Lepisosteus oculatus: one gene and its partner. The protein of the gene in region 2 interacts with the protein of the main gene of each other region in a pairwise test. Links are inferred from orthologs where the notes say so. Each region holds a gene or a part of one and is shown on either strand. Other genes may lie near its edges.

The links. The genes of interacting proteins can lie anywhere in the genome.
Region 1: the proteins of vbp1 (region 2) and pfdn4 interact in binary tests that used the Homo sapiens proteins (3 or more experiments, as listed by UniProt). The link is inferred for Lepisosteus oculatus from reciprocal best matches to the Homo sapiens genes VBP1 and PFDN4.

The regions. Positions count from the first base shown.
Region 1 is NC_090711.1:11,177,969-11,185,768, reverse strand, and holds the start of pfdn4 (prefoldin subunit 4), read left to right. Parts: upstream 1-4,789; 5' UTR 4,790-4,866; coding exon 4,867-4,893; intron 4,894-5,553; coding exon 5,554-5,661; intron 5,662-5,857; coding exon 5,858-5,998; intron 5,999-7,800. UniProt on the Homo sapiens protein: Binds specifically to cytosolic chaperonin (c-CPN) and transfers target proteins to it. Binds to nascent polypeptide chain and promotes folding in an environment in which there are many competing pathways for nonnative proteins.
Region 2 is NC_090703.1:47,078,758-47,085,633, reverse strand, and holds the start of vbp1 (prefoldin subunit 3), read right to left. Parts: upstream 3,013-6,876; 5' UTR 2,983-3,012; coding exon 2,902-2,982; intron 1,050-2,901; coding exon 925-1,049; intron 508-924; coding exon 441-507; intron 334-440; coding exon 235-333; intron 1-234. Other genes in the region: prss23 (serine protease 23), read right to left, coding at 6,372-6,876. UniProt on the Homo sapiens protein: Binds specifically to cytosolic chaperonin (c-CPN) and transfers target proteins to it. Binds to nascent polypeptide chain and promotes folding in an environment in which there are many competing pathways for nonnative proteins.

The DNA of each region.
Region 1 (7,800 bases), on a different chromosome or scaffold from region 2:
CAAAATTGATTTTAACTACAATGCTACTTACTAAGATTTTGATAGATTTAGATTATTTTGTTGTGCTAGAGTGAAGATGGCTGGTTATCTTTTAACCCTAGGTCCCTACCTTGTTACCACAAAGGAGGTGCTGTCCAGGTTGTCTATAGTTCTGAATCGAATGCATAAAATGCCAGAATTCTTCCATGATTATCTTTGTCTAGGCATGGAGTTCAAACTTAGTGGCTGCTTTGTACTTGTTGCAGAATCCTTGTGGTGATACTGTTCATTGTTTACAGGAGTGAGTCTTGATTTAGAGACAGCTACTGTAAGTGAAACATATTCTAGGATGTATTGATATGTGATCATGTGTAATCAAGAACTTCACCATTAAAAATAAGGTATTCAAGAGTTTGTGTGGTAGTAAAAGCACTATACTGCAGGAAGAGGTATACTTGCATAAAGTGATCTTCCCCCTCACAGCACCCCGCAGAGTTTCCCAATAGTCTTTACTTTGGACAATTGCCTGGATAGAGGAAATATTTCATCCTGTGTCATTCACCTGAGCTGAGGCTTCAGTTCAACTCAAGAGACACGTGATGAAGGGAGCTCCAATTAAAAATCTAATCTTGCTATCTAACAAAAATTGAAAACTTGCAAACATTTGGAACCTTTCAATTTCATTTCAAAGTTTCATTTGGCTAAGGGCATGCAACAAAAGTGCAACAACATGTAATTTATATTAAATGACAACTTTCTGTCTGAGAGCTTTATACTTTCGAAGTCTGAGGGCTGTGGGTGGAGGAGTCAGGGTTAAGGTAGACTTTGGAGCACATCTGTAATTTCTGCAGTCAGAGATTCATTAAAAGAGCTGCATAAAATGTTTTTGTTATCATTATTACTTGAGTTAAAGAAGAAGAACCTTCACTTATTTTTAAGTGGTTTTAAAAGTTTTAATGTTCATATAGAGAACGATACTTATGCAAAACACCTCTTTTAAACAATACCTTAAGAAAAAGAATAGACACTGCAGAAGACATTTTATTACTATATATTTAAAAATATATATTTTCAATTAAACCTGAGTGACGCATGTGTGTTGTATCCCTTTTCTAAGAATTCTAGAAAATGATTTGCCCTCATTCATGAATTCAACAAATTTGTATCCTCTTTTATTTGCACGGTAGCAATCTAAACAGTATATTCAAGGTTAATCTATTATGTCAACATGAAGACTGATAGCCTTGTGCCAGATCAGTTCAAAATGTATTTTTTTCTCTTTTTTGGTTATTATTTAATAGATGTTCATTCAGGACATTCAAATGGCAATGAGTTCTTCAGTTCTTTTACGCCACTGGCAGCTTATGTCAATGATTATAAGATAAGACCATTATCACTCTAAGATCCAAAAGTCATGTAAAATTGATTTTCTTCTGATATGGGTTACACATTAACTCTCATGTGATTTAACTAAAATAATGATGTGCCTGGTAAAATAGATCCAGCCTGGATTTAAGGACCCACAATCTGAATTTGTTAGTATATACCTGTATATATTTAATTGCTGCCAATGTAGGCGTACTCATCAGAAAACAGGAAATAGCTGTGCAGTGTTATAGAAGATGTGGATAAGCAGTGGCAGACCAGTTTATCTGTGTATATATATGAGCACTGTAGCCAAATCTTAGTATTTATTATCATTATTACTTTACTTAACAAGATCCATCCATTCATTTTCTAACTGCTTCATGCGATTCGGGGGGGGGCAAGGGAACTGAAGCCTATCCCAGCAAGCAATGGGCACAAAGCAGGGTACTCCATGGAAGGGGTGCCAGTCTATCCCAAGGCACAGACAGACACAACCAAATACCCTACCAAACTGGAGCACCTGGAGGAAACCAACACTAATGCAGAGAGAACATAGAAACTCCATGTTGACAGCATCCCAGGAATTGAACCCCAGCACTCTGAGGCAGCAACGCCAATCACTGCATCACCTACTGATTCTACAAATTCTAATTTACATAGACAACTAACTGGCTAGGCAGGGTACACTACTGTGATGGTAAAAAGAACAATAAAAGACAGCAAAAGAAGAAAAAGATGACATTCCTTTTGCTGTCATATTGTTTATTGGGATAGTGCCTTCATCCACCTTTAAGAACATAGAGAATATATTTAAGACTTTACTTTGCCTAAACACACCCTACAATAGTTTCAGGTGTTAAAACAGGTATGAACTGCTTACTTATGGGACTACCGCTAAAACATAATTACTATGAAAATGATAGCGTCTTAATTTAAGAGATCCTTTTGCATTGTTTTGCACTACCTATTCATGCACAAATAATAGATGCATCTGAATTTGTTTTGGGCACAGACAGCATAAAGGAAAAATAACATTCTTGGGCACTGCCTAGAGAACTATATTATTCATAGGTGTGGTCCATCCAGTCCACACTTGTGAAAATGGTTTAGCTCTGGTATGACTCATGATTCCTGAGGACAAAAGCTGAAACGTGTCAGGCCAGTTCTTGCTGTGGGACAGAAAGTTTCTCACAAGGTATGTATGACTCTGGTACATCACTACATCACTAAAGCAGCAGGAAATCTGGAAAAAGTGTCAATTCAGACAGCCTCAGGGGTTGACATTACTGACATGTCAACCCAAATTATCCCATTGGGTCACATTATGGGGGGTCCACCCCTACCCACATCTCATGCAAAGCTACATAAGGCTCTGCTATGAGTTTTTTGCAGATGATGTACAGTATAAAGTAAACTTGCATCACGGCAAATACGTGGACAGACAAATATTTGAATAGAAGGTCAAATTTGTAGAAAGACCAGAAAATATGTGGAACTCCTGTTCACCGTGTACAGACAAGAGCCCCACATTAAGTCATCATTTGCAAAAGTAACATTTTACTTTTTTCAATTTAGGTCAATTTTTTAATTTGGTCAATTTAGTCATTTGTTTTCATGTTCAAGCACATGCAGTATATAGACATGATACGTTTTTACACATTTTAGTGAAGTTGGTTAACATTAGCAGTAATGTAATAATAATCAGAGATCATATTAGTAAAGACTATCTGATTATTATTAACTGATCAATTATTAATGATCAGTGAAAAGCCCTTCAAGATAACATCAGAAGTTACACTCATATCCTCACCTATCAATTGCACCACTGAATGAGGACAAGCAATTGCTTTGCCCATCATGTTCAGGAAGTACTTGAGCTCAGTGTGAACTGAGTTCAAATTCATTCAATTCCTCTTGAGCAGAATCATCCATTACATTACAACAGTTTGTGCAACCTGAGGTTTCTATGACAGCAATAGTTAGGTCTTCAGGTCAATAACACATTTAGGATCAGTAGCTGTGCCATTTAAAAAATTCCTTCAGGCACAGGTGTTTCGTTAATCATTCATTCTACATTCTCTGAAAGTTAATCATTTTTGTACATTCCTCAACTTAAACTTTAAACTAAAAAAGAAAAAAAAACTCGATATTGCTCTTAAATTTATTATAATTATAAAACCAGAAAAAATATTATATTAATCCTGCCTGTTTCAGCATTTCTTTTTGTTTCCTCTAATGTTTAAAACCCATCAAACACAGAAAGGACATTTTTTAAATTAATCAGCTGTGATAAACGGCGTTCATAAAGGCTGAAGATTCATAAACATGAAGTGTTCAGATACATAACATGCAGTGCAAGAGTTTGACTAATATATTTCATGTGAATACATATTTCTTTTAGTCTGTCAATGAAGAACATTCCTTTTCTCTTCTTTGTCTTTGAGCACATTTTGGTCACAAGGTGACAAACTGACAGTATTGTAAATGCCATCTTAATTCTGCAACTTCAAATTGTAATATCCATTGATTTAGAAGTGATGCCTTTTTGCTTACATTTTATTTGCTTTTTTCATTGTTTTCCTACATTCCTATACTGTCTGTCTCGAAGATGAAAATGCTGTCAGGATGAACTGGTAAGGTTTTCTAAGGTCGCCTGTTCAAGCTCAGCATTTCCCATTTTATAGTTAGTTTATAGTAATAGTTTTTATGTTTATGTTTTTGCTACCTGCATGAAACTCTCGGCACATATCTAAATAAGATATAATCTGTTAGCTGTTTTCGCTAGTCTTTCCTCTAAATCTTTATGAATTTAGTTCGCAGACTGCGTGCTCGTCACTTCTGTATCATATGCGTGTGCGACTAGTTTGCTAACTGTAACAGAATATAGATCATAAATATAAATCACAAAGAACAGCGGCTGTGTCCTATAAAAAACCGTATCCTATTAAACACTGTTCCATTATTGACATTTCTTATTCGCGTTAATTAGTATTGCTAGTAACGACAGCAAGAGTTAAGCATGCAACATGACGTTATAACTACCAAGTATTAGTTGGAAAAGAAATTAAGATAAAATACAAAATCCTTGACTAATATAGCATTCAATATTCGGAATGGAGGGAGAAACAATTATATGTTAAAAATCCCTTTTATGACTGTTTTAAAAAGTAATTATTCCAGTATTAAGAAGATAATTAAATGATTTTGTGACACGTCTGCCACCTGCAGGACATTAGAAGTATTACCGTAAAACTCCTTTTTATCGGCCAAACTTTTAAACTTCCATGCGTTCTTTGAGTGCGTCCCTTTAAACGGAACCTACCACTTGTTTAAATAAATTATATACATCCAGAAACCGATATGTGAGCTACACATAAAATCATTGTGCATTGTACTTAATTGTATTAATATTTTAAAGTAAAAAATGAGAACCCGCACGTCAATGAAAACGCTGTAAATCAAAACAAATACTCCAGAAGGTATAATTCTCCACGTGAATGAATAGATTCGTCCATAAAAATGGCAGCGACCATGAAGAAGTCTGTTGTAAGTAATTCTTAACAGGTTTTAGATTTTATTAATCTTTTTGTCGGTCTTGCTGGGTAGGCATGTATTATGTGTAATCTGGAAATTAAAGCTGGTAAAGCAGTTCTATTAGCGTGTGCACTAATTAAGTCCATCTTCGTTATAGACTGTTATGGGTGTGGTGGTTAATATCGGTGAGCTTTTGATCTGTTGTTGGTTTCAGACAGTAATATATAGTTATATATTGCATTCCATAAAGCTCTTTAGTAATTTATTATTAAGAATACAATCCTAAACGCCGTTAGTAAACGACAGCTGCATTTCACATAAGCAAGAGACGAAAATGGGTGGTATTAAGTAAAAATAATACGCAAACGCTTTAAATGGAATGAATGAGGTTTAAATTTCTGAAGTTGCAAGTACAATCTCTATATCGTTGGATAATTATCTTTGAAACTATTCTTATTATTAACAAAAATAATTTGAGCACGCAGTATGTGACCATTGGATTTTTGTAAATGACTACAGCTGAGGACCAGGTCTGAGAGTCAGTACCCGGGGATTTTTCAAGAAATTACCGAATGAGATACTCTGATCAGTACAGGGTAGCTACTACAAGCACCAACGAGCTAAGTGGGCCCACTTGCTTTCTTTTCTTTACATTTTTTCATATCTTTATAGGCAGTAGAAGACGTGAACGTCACCTTTGAAGACCAACAGAAGATTAACAAATTTGCTAGAAACACAAACCGGATGACTGAACTCAAAGAAGAAATAGAAGCAAAGAAGGTATATTTATAATTGGCAAGTGCACATTAGCGCATTTAATTGAAGGCTATTAAAACTATCTGAGCTTGGAAGAAAACTATTCTAAAATACCAGTAGCAATCACAAACAACAACAACAACAAAAAAAGGTTTGCCTTGTTGTTGGGCAGATCTCCTCAGTTATGTATTCCATGATGACGTTTGCCTCTCTTCTTCAGAAATCTCTTCAGAACTTGGAGGACGCCAGTGATGACATCATGATGTTTGATGATGACACCTTACTAATTCCGTATCAGATTGGTGATGTCTTCATTAGCCACACCCAGGAGGAAACACAGGATATGTTAGATACTGGGAAGGTAGGCCTAGCTTTGTGAAGTTCATTCTAATCCATGGTTAGTAAACAGCTGTAAGAGTCTTACTGCTCTAGGGTCCTGGGTTGGTTTCTGGACTGAGGTGAATTCTCTGTTCTTGCTCTGTTTGATGGATGGATGGATGGAGTAAAAAGCAAACTGTTGTCTCATATAATTTTACAGATTCCATAAGTTACATTACTGAAAGCACATTTTATTGCTTATCTTCTGCAGAGGGTGTGTTTTGTAGAGCAGCGTGGCGGTTTTTATCTTTCCTGTAACAGTCTTCTTTCTGAAGAGCTCAATAACACTGATCGCTTTGTTCCTTTTTAACGAGTTCTCACTTCTGAGTAAGTCTTACCCTGTGATCAGTTAACAGTCAGCTGGAAAAAGCTGTCGTAATGCTCATCAATATAGTATGTTTGATCTGCTCTCTTAAAACATGACCCTTCAGAATCAGTTCTCAACTTTATTTGTACTGAAATGCTATGAAAAGAAACCTAAAACAGCTGTAGACTCACCTAATTATCTTAATAGATGCAAAAAAATGGAATGTGAAAATTTGAATTGTTTCACAGCAGTAAATGAAGTTATTAAGGAAAAATAACACATAATTTTTAATTTAACATATAGTAAATAAACACAAAGGTGATATTTTCAGAGTTTCCTGCAAGGAATGTGTGAGATTTTCTGCTGAAATCTTGCAGGTGCATACTATTTGCATTGATGGTTTCTTTTAATTTTTGTACAAAAACACATTGGTTAATTAATGAAGTTGTGAGTCTCTATAGCAGTTTCTAAATTTTATGTTACTTTGTTTTTTTTAATCAACTTTGACTTGATGTAAATACTTGAGGTCTGAGAATTGTGAGATTCTGTACCATTGCAGCTACTGGCAGATAAATGATCTTGCGGTGTATCATTATGAAACAGTATCTCAGTATGGATTCTTGTGTATATTATGTCTGCATTTTTTGGCCAGACGGTCCGTCTGGTCTGTATACAATAATAGAGAATAGTATTACTCCAGAAATTATGTCGAGCCAAGATCCCAGATTCCTCTTTGCTTATTTAACCATGTTTCAGTGTACAGTTTCAAGCTTACTTGTAACTTTTATGTGACTATGAAATATACCTTATCAGAAGTTTTCAGCTGTCCATTGATATTTTGTACCATCAATTGACACCCTATTCATATCAATTTCTACCTCCTATACTTAAGCTGTTGAAGCTTTCCAAGTTTGGGGATAGCTGAACTGACATCAAGATTGTTAAAATTAATGCATATTCATACTGGTATGAATGATCATTTACTTTAATAGAAGAAAACTATTTAGTAGTGTGGTTTCCTACACTTACTTTAACAGAATAAGAAACCATAAAATATAAATTATTTTCCTTTGCCACTCTCAAAATATAAGTTTGAAAATTAAACTCTGATGTACTCTAACCTGAGGAAAGCTGGAAATGTGAAAGTAGTTTTCCCACAAACAACTCCGACAAGACAACTCTGACTTAGAAATAAATGTAGATTACTTTTGTATATTGTATAAATTACCTATTGTTGTTATATACTGTTGTACCTGTGAGGAACTCTGTGTGTGTTGGCTGTGAAGGACCAGGTTAATTTCACGATGGAAAAACTAGAAAAGAGAAACCAAACATTTTGGCTGAAGAGTCAGGTATTTGTAGATACTTTATATACTTTGTACTGTGTACTATATACTATAAAGTATATACAGTATTTTTGTATGTTGATTCAGTATGAAGTGCAAAATTAAGGATTATTTATTTCCACAAAGAAAATC
Region 2 (6,876 bases):
CCCAAAAGGGGACGCAGTGCTACCCCTGGTCGCCCCAAAAGGGGACGCAGTGCTCCCCCTGGTCGCCCCAAAAGGGGACGCAGTGCTCCCCCTGGTCGCCCCAAAAGGGGATGCAGTGCTCCCCCTGGTCAACCTAAAGTTAACACTACAATATCTCTGCTCGTCAGGGTTGGAATAACCGTCAACTTAACGCAATTTACTAATGAGACGTAGCAGTATGGATTAAATACTTACGCCAAGCCACAAACAGACTTTATCTGTGGGGGGTACCAAGGCCTTGCAATACAGGTTATCAGCCAGCAGGAAGTGGGTTTCCAAAGGATCTGTGGTGTCCTAAGGCAGGTGGAAATAAAATCACAGTAAGCAGCTGCAAAACACACAAGAGGGGTGGAAAAGAAATTAGACCCGGTGGGCAGTGACCCCATGCGGCCGAGATGTACCTTTTTCTTCTGCATGTGTTTTAAAATTTCGAGTGTTTGCTTAATTTGGGGGATCTGGCTTTTCAATCTGAAAAGAGACAAAAACAGGAAAGCTGGGAGGTTAATGGGCAAGACCGTCTTCCATCACACCGGGACATCTGGAGGACGAGTCTCCGGACGCAGGACCGGGAGCCGTTTGACGGCGTTCCTTTACAAAGCCCTGAAAAAAATGGCTCTCTCTTCATGCGCCACTACATTCCGCGAGCTCTGTTCACGGCAGCAAACGCTTTCTACTCCCAGAAAACTCCCCGTTTCTCAAAACAGGCAGTTTTTTTAAATCCCACTTAATGATGAACAGCTTCAGGCTCCTCCTAATCACTTAACCTCAAGACTGACTGGAGCAACACAACCCTCTCCTGCGAGTATTCAGACCTACGGTTTAGCAAGACCTATAACCCCCATCACCCCCACGGGCGACGGGCGGCAGAGACGCCCTCGGGCTCACCTCAGCTTCTTCTGCGCCAGGTTGAGCTCCATGAACTTGTACTTCTGATACTGCTCATCCAGCTTCCTCAGCACAGCGTCAGCCGTCTCATTGCCAGGCTGCTTCATGAAGGCGTCCACATCCTCCTGCGAGAGAGAGGATCTGTGAAATCACCCCTCCTGATAGTTCATCGGGCAACTTTACTCGGCCGACTCTTTTATCCAAAGCATCATGTTTCTACCCTTTATTTACCACTGGGTATTTCACTGGGGCAGTCTGAGTGATGTACTTTGCTCAGGTGTACAGCAGCCAGTGCCCCTCCCATATATATGCCATATATGGACATCAGGGCGGTTACTCCTCCCACTTCCTGTCACCATGGTAACCCGTTGGCACACTAACCCTCATGTTTAAAACCACAAAGGCAAAATCTCTTCCATACTGGGTAACAGGAACTGAACTGTTTCGTTATCGGCTTTGTGAAATTGCTCGGGAATGCATTGATAAAGCCGGGCTTTCTGCTACATCAAGACTCCGGCAGCTATTTAATCCCGAGTGTAGGCCCGTCATGGCAGACGTGCCCTACTCTAGTAGAACAAGACTCCACTTGAACAAGACTCTTGTTCAAAGAGGCACTAGTGAACAAGAGCCCTCTGCCCAGGCGCAGTTCTAGTACAATACTGCAGGCTCCTTCCTGATTTGCTCTTGAATCCTGAACTGAATTCAGAACTAAGAGAACAAGAGGCAGATGGAGCTGGGACCAGGAAGGCAGCTGATCAGAAAGGTCAGGGATTTAATTAATTGTGCCGACATCGCCCCCAAGAACCACATTCAGGAAGACTCGGGTTCCAACCCTGGGCTCAGAAGCTTAACTGTTTTGAAGATGATACTAGCTCTGGGTCTGCGTCAGTCCCATTAATCAGCCCGGAAGACGTCTTTATTCGTCGTGTCTCCCAATATAAAAGCAGTCGGAGGCTTATCATGGCTCTGTAGAGTCTCCACTCAGGAGACAGTTGTTCTTGTGCCTGAACATGTTAAAAAAAAACGGTTTCACTAAGAAAATAATCTATGTAATGTTGGGCCAAAACGCTTTTTTTTCCCATAATTTGCCCTGTAAAAAAATCCAGATGACATTTACACAGAAACAACTCAGCAACGGGTCGAAAATTACACCAGTACGGGCAATAGCACAGAAACATAACGATAAAGACAAAGGGGTATGGAAGATGCCATCGCCACTTTTGGTAATGAACTATTGCAACATATGATTTGCTCTGATTTCTTAACCGGACCTCAAACGGACATTTCGTTTACGGTTCTCGGTCACGCCATCTAACGACAATGGAGCTAGTGAGGTTCTCGCTGTGGAGCAGACACGGGTCCACCTCCTTCTCCGCAAACGACAAGCGCGTCTCCACGACCCGAGGTCCTAACCCAGCACGCAGTGACTCATCTGCACCGCGCTGGAGCCCGCGGCCGGAAGGGCTCCTGAACTGAAATATTGACGCTGTCAAACCCGCACCCCAGCCGAACTGCTAAAAAATATATATATTTTCAATTAAATAATACAAAATACGCCGATCCAGCCCCCCTGATTATCTTATAATGTTGGTCGGAACTTGAACGTCCGAAGATTGTAGTTGAGACAAGACATTCAATCGACTTGCTTCCACGGTACAGCGGTAACCATTGGATACCATAAAATCTATGCTCTGGGTGTGGAGGTATGCTTAAAAATGCATTTGAGCTCTAAGGGTGCGGGCTGCTCAATGCCCCATTGTCGTCCGCCCGCAAGCGAGACCACCCTTTTCCTTGTAGTCTCAGATCCCGGTGCTTAGCTTTCATAGTCGAAATGTCTCCAACTGCCTTTTAAGGATGTGGATGGCTAGCTACTGTAATATCGGATTCTCCTTTCTGCACGGAGTTCTCCCAGCCCTTCATCATCAATAATTCTCCACATGTAAAAAGGCACAACAGACGTTGCCTTTGGCCTCTTACCACAAATACAGCCTCCGGGATGCCTAAGTGTTTTCGCTTGCCTGCTGCCACAGCATTGCTGCTCTCCGTGGTCGCCGCCATCTTGGACAGATTTCCCCTCACGCCATGCAGCGGCGCTGACGTTGTGCGTAGCGAACGTGGACCCCACCCATCACCTTTCCCCGCCTCCTCAGCCGCAACTGCAGCTCTGATTGGACGCCGGGGAGAACGGCTCGAGCGGGTAGGACCTATCGTAGAGAAACGCAGCCGGATATGGGCGAGTCCCCCGCAAGGCTTTCTGGAGAGTGTAGTTTAATCTTTCGTTTCTTTGTCCAAGGTGGGGGAACAAGTTAGGGCGGGGGGGATCCTGGTGTTGTAAATTTCAGGCTACTCCTGAAATAATGCTAATTTATTTTCGGGAGGAAATCGTTTAAAACACCGTCATCGTGAAATCTGACACTAAAAGCAAGGCTTTGAATTTAAACAGCTGAGCAGTTATCACAATCAAAATATGCAACCTAGCCTTTATGACAAGTAGTTAATCCCATGGATCCATTCATTTTCTAACTGCTTTAGGGGTGTCATGCCTATCCCAGCAAGCAACAGGCACAAGGCAGGATACACCCTGGACTGGACACCAGTCCATCATAGGGCAGACACACAGACACACACACCAGGGTCAGTTTTCCCAGAACAGAACAGAAAGTTAACCAACCAGCATGTCTTTCGATTGTGGAAGGAAACCAGAGAACCCAGAGCGCACCCATGTAATCATGGGGAGAACATACAAACTCCACACAGACAGCACCCTAGGATTTGAACCCAGGCCCCCTGCACTGCCAGGCTGCAATGCTGCCCCATCCAGCTGATGAATATTTATTTTTCCAAGTAGAGAAAAACTGTTTTAAATAAAAAATGATTAATCTGCCGCCGATTTTGATCGTGCGGCTTAGTTCAAAAACAGATGTTCCCTGGATCCTGGGTTGAGTTTCAGACGAGGGCACCTTCTGGGTGGAGTGTGCATGTCTTCGCATGTTCCCACGGGTTTCCTCTCGCTCTGCAAAGACATATGTGAGCTACGTTCATTATATTTGTTGTCCCCGCTGTGTGTGCGCGCACTGCAGTGGATTAGCGCCCCGTCCGGGGTGCGGGTGCCGTCCTGCGCCCTGTTTTCCCAGAATGGGCTCCCGGTTGGCGTGACCCTCGCCAGGAACAAGCAGCTTCCTGACAACGGGAGGCAGGAAACTCAGTGGCCAAGAAAATCTTGAGAGTGAAACAGCATATTATAAACATGCAATATATAAACAGAATATCGGGTGGAGTGGTGGCTCTGTGGCTCAGGATCTGCGCCTGTGACTGGAAAGTTGCCGGTTCAAATCCTGCAGCTGGCAGAGGAATCCTACTCCGTTGGGCCCCTGAGCAAGGCCCTTAACCCTAACTGCTCCAGGGGTGCTGTACAATGGCTGACCATGTGCTTTGACCCCCTGCTTCTCTCCCTGTCTGTGTCTCATGGAGAGCAAGCTGGGGTATGTGAAAAGATGAACTCCTAATGCAAGAAATTGTATATGGCCAATAAAGTGATCTTATCTGATATTAATAATAATCCTCATCATTAGTGTAATCCTTACAGTTCTATAGTGCTTTTTTGCAAAGTACGTTACAGGTAACGGGGAATCCCACTAACACCAGCAGTGAACAGAATCACCTGGACGATGTGACAGCAGCCATCATGATCATTTCTCAGTGGGGAGGAGAGCAGAGTGATGAAGCCAGTTCATGGGGATTATTAGGAGGCCGTGAGTGGTTAAGACCAGGGGAATGGCTGTTTGTCCTATAGGATCATGCTAGTTATCCCTGGGATCTAACTTCCTAATGTTATTTGTTTTCCCAATTCGTTTATGCATTTATATTCAAACTTTTCTTCTTGCATTATCTTAATTTATGAATTGATCTATAAGTAAGCTCATGGATATCAACCCCAGAAACTCAAGTCTTCTGCCACTTTGAGCACAGACAGCTGGCTCAAACGTAGCCGTCTCCTGAAGTGCTGTTCATCTTTTCTTTCCTTTTGTAGTTTTTTACAGCAAAAAAAAACAACAACCTGACTACAGGCTCAACACGCAGCATTGAAACAAAGCTGTTGTAAAGCTGCACGTTTCCTCTCAGGGAAAAGTGGGCTTTATCCTGATGGGGTTCCCGATCTCGGCTACTTTTCAAGGACATGAAGAAAAACCAAAACAAGACAAGACAGACAACACCCACACGGGGAGAAACAGTTAATCAAATATCCAGTTTATTCAAATATATAGAAGGCTTTCTCAAATAAAACTTAATGAAACGAAATGAAACGCAACCGGAATCCTGCTAACGGCAGTGCCCCGGCCGGGCCCTGGCAGAGGAACGCCGAGCCGTTGCGTGGCTGTCAGGGCTACACGCGCGGACAAGGAAGTGCTGTGTTACTGGGGGGGATGGCCGGGAGCAGGCTGGTCAGCATCAGCCTGTGCTCTGCAGAGAGCGGTGCTGTCAGGCACAGAGGCTGTGAGATTGTCCCACCAGTTAAACTCTCATTAAAGGCCCTTCAGCGCATTTCCCCTTATATTTACAGGGAGATCTGCTCCTCCCCCCCAAAAAAGCACACTGAGACGTTAGTTCCTTAAATCTTCCAACTTAGTGATTTCCTCAACCTGACCGGTTACCCTTATGAAACGGAGCGCCCTCCTCATGGTAAAACAAAATCACAGCTTCTTCTCTTATGAGAGTGCTCATGGGTGTGCAGGTCGTTTGAAAGAGACCTGACGGTAATCACAGGCTGGAGAGGAAGTATCTCAGTGGATCTGATTTAAAGGGTGCTCATGCGGTCCACGGCACAGGGATGCTGGAACTTTCAGCTGGAAGCTGGGAAGGTGGAGCTACGACTGCCCCCCCGGTCCTGTGGGAACGGAGCCTGGCCCGTCCTGTGCTAATGGGTCCATCACAGCCCGGGGGGCAGGGGGCAGGGGAATTCGCTGTTCGCGGGGGGAGGGGGAGATATCAGGAGAGGGACCGGTTTCGGGTCCTCTCAGACCGCGACAACAGACACAGTAAAATACACAAGGCAGGTAGGGCAAGCAAAAGTGCATCAACGAAGTATCGATTAAATTATCACAGCGCTCCTACGGTTTGCCGTAGGTCACGCACAAAGAGGTCCAGAGTGGTCTGTTAGCTTCCTTTCACGAAGACTCTTCTCTGCTGAGACAATCGCTATCAGTGAGTGCGGGCAAAGCAAGCCAAGAACCAGGAAGGGCGCCCAAGACAGACATTTCCCACTAAGAACAGACAAGATTCTTCTTTAGCCTTTGCATGCACGGGCTGCCCCCGCATAAAGGCTGTTTCTTTAGGAATTTACTACCTTGTTTTAATCACAAAGCATGAAACCGTTTAAAGAAGTTGAATGATATGGGACTAGGGCACCGGGACCCCCAGGCTACGGTCCCCAGCCCAGTCTCCTGCGCTCAGTCCTGAAGGCAGTCCAAGTGGTTCCCCTTCACCCAGTAACAGATCTGTGCAAACTTGAGAGGGGTGAACCGGACGGCGACGTTGAAGTCTCGGTTCTCCCCGTTGATCTCCAGCCACTGGTGTCCCGAGAAGACTCCGATCACCTTCCTCTCCCAGCGCTCCAGCGCGGCGTCCCAGACGCGGCCGTACACCCCCGAGCCGCTGGCGCCGGGCCGCGCGTCGCAGTGCTGGTAGATGAGGTCGTTGGACTCGTCCTCCACGGGGCAGAACCGGTACACCAGCTCTCCGGGCCGGTCGCTGTCGAACCCGGAGAAGTGGATCCGCTTGCCCGCGAGGTCCTGGGCGGAAGGGGCCACGGAGAGACGCATGTAGGGGCGCCGGTGGGGGGCGCGCAGCTCCAGGAGGGCGTAGTCGAAGTCCATGCTGGCCTCCTGGGGTCCCTGGATCCAGCCTTTCGGAACCCGGGTTCGCTTGACCCTCACCCAGCGCACCAGCGGCTTC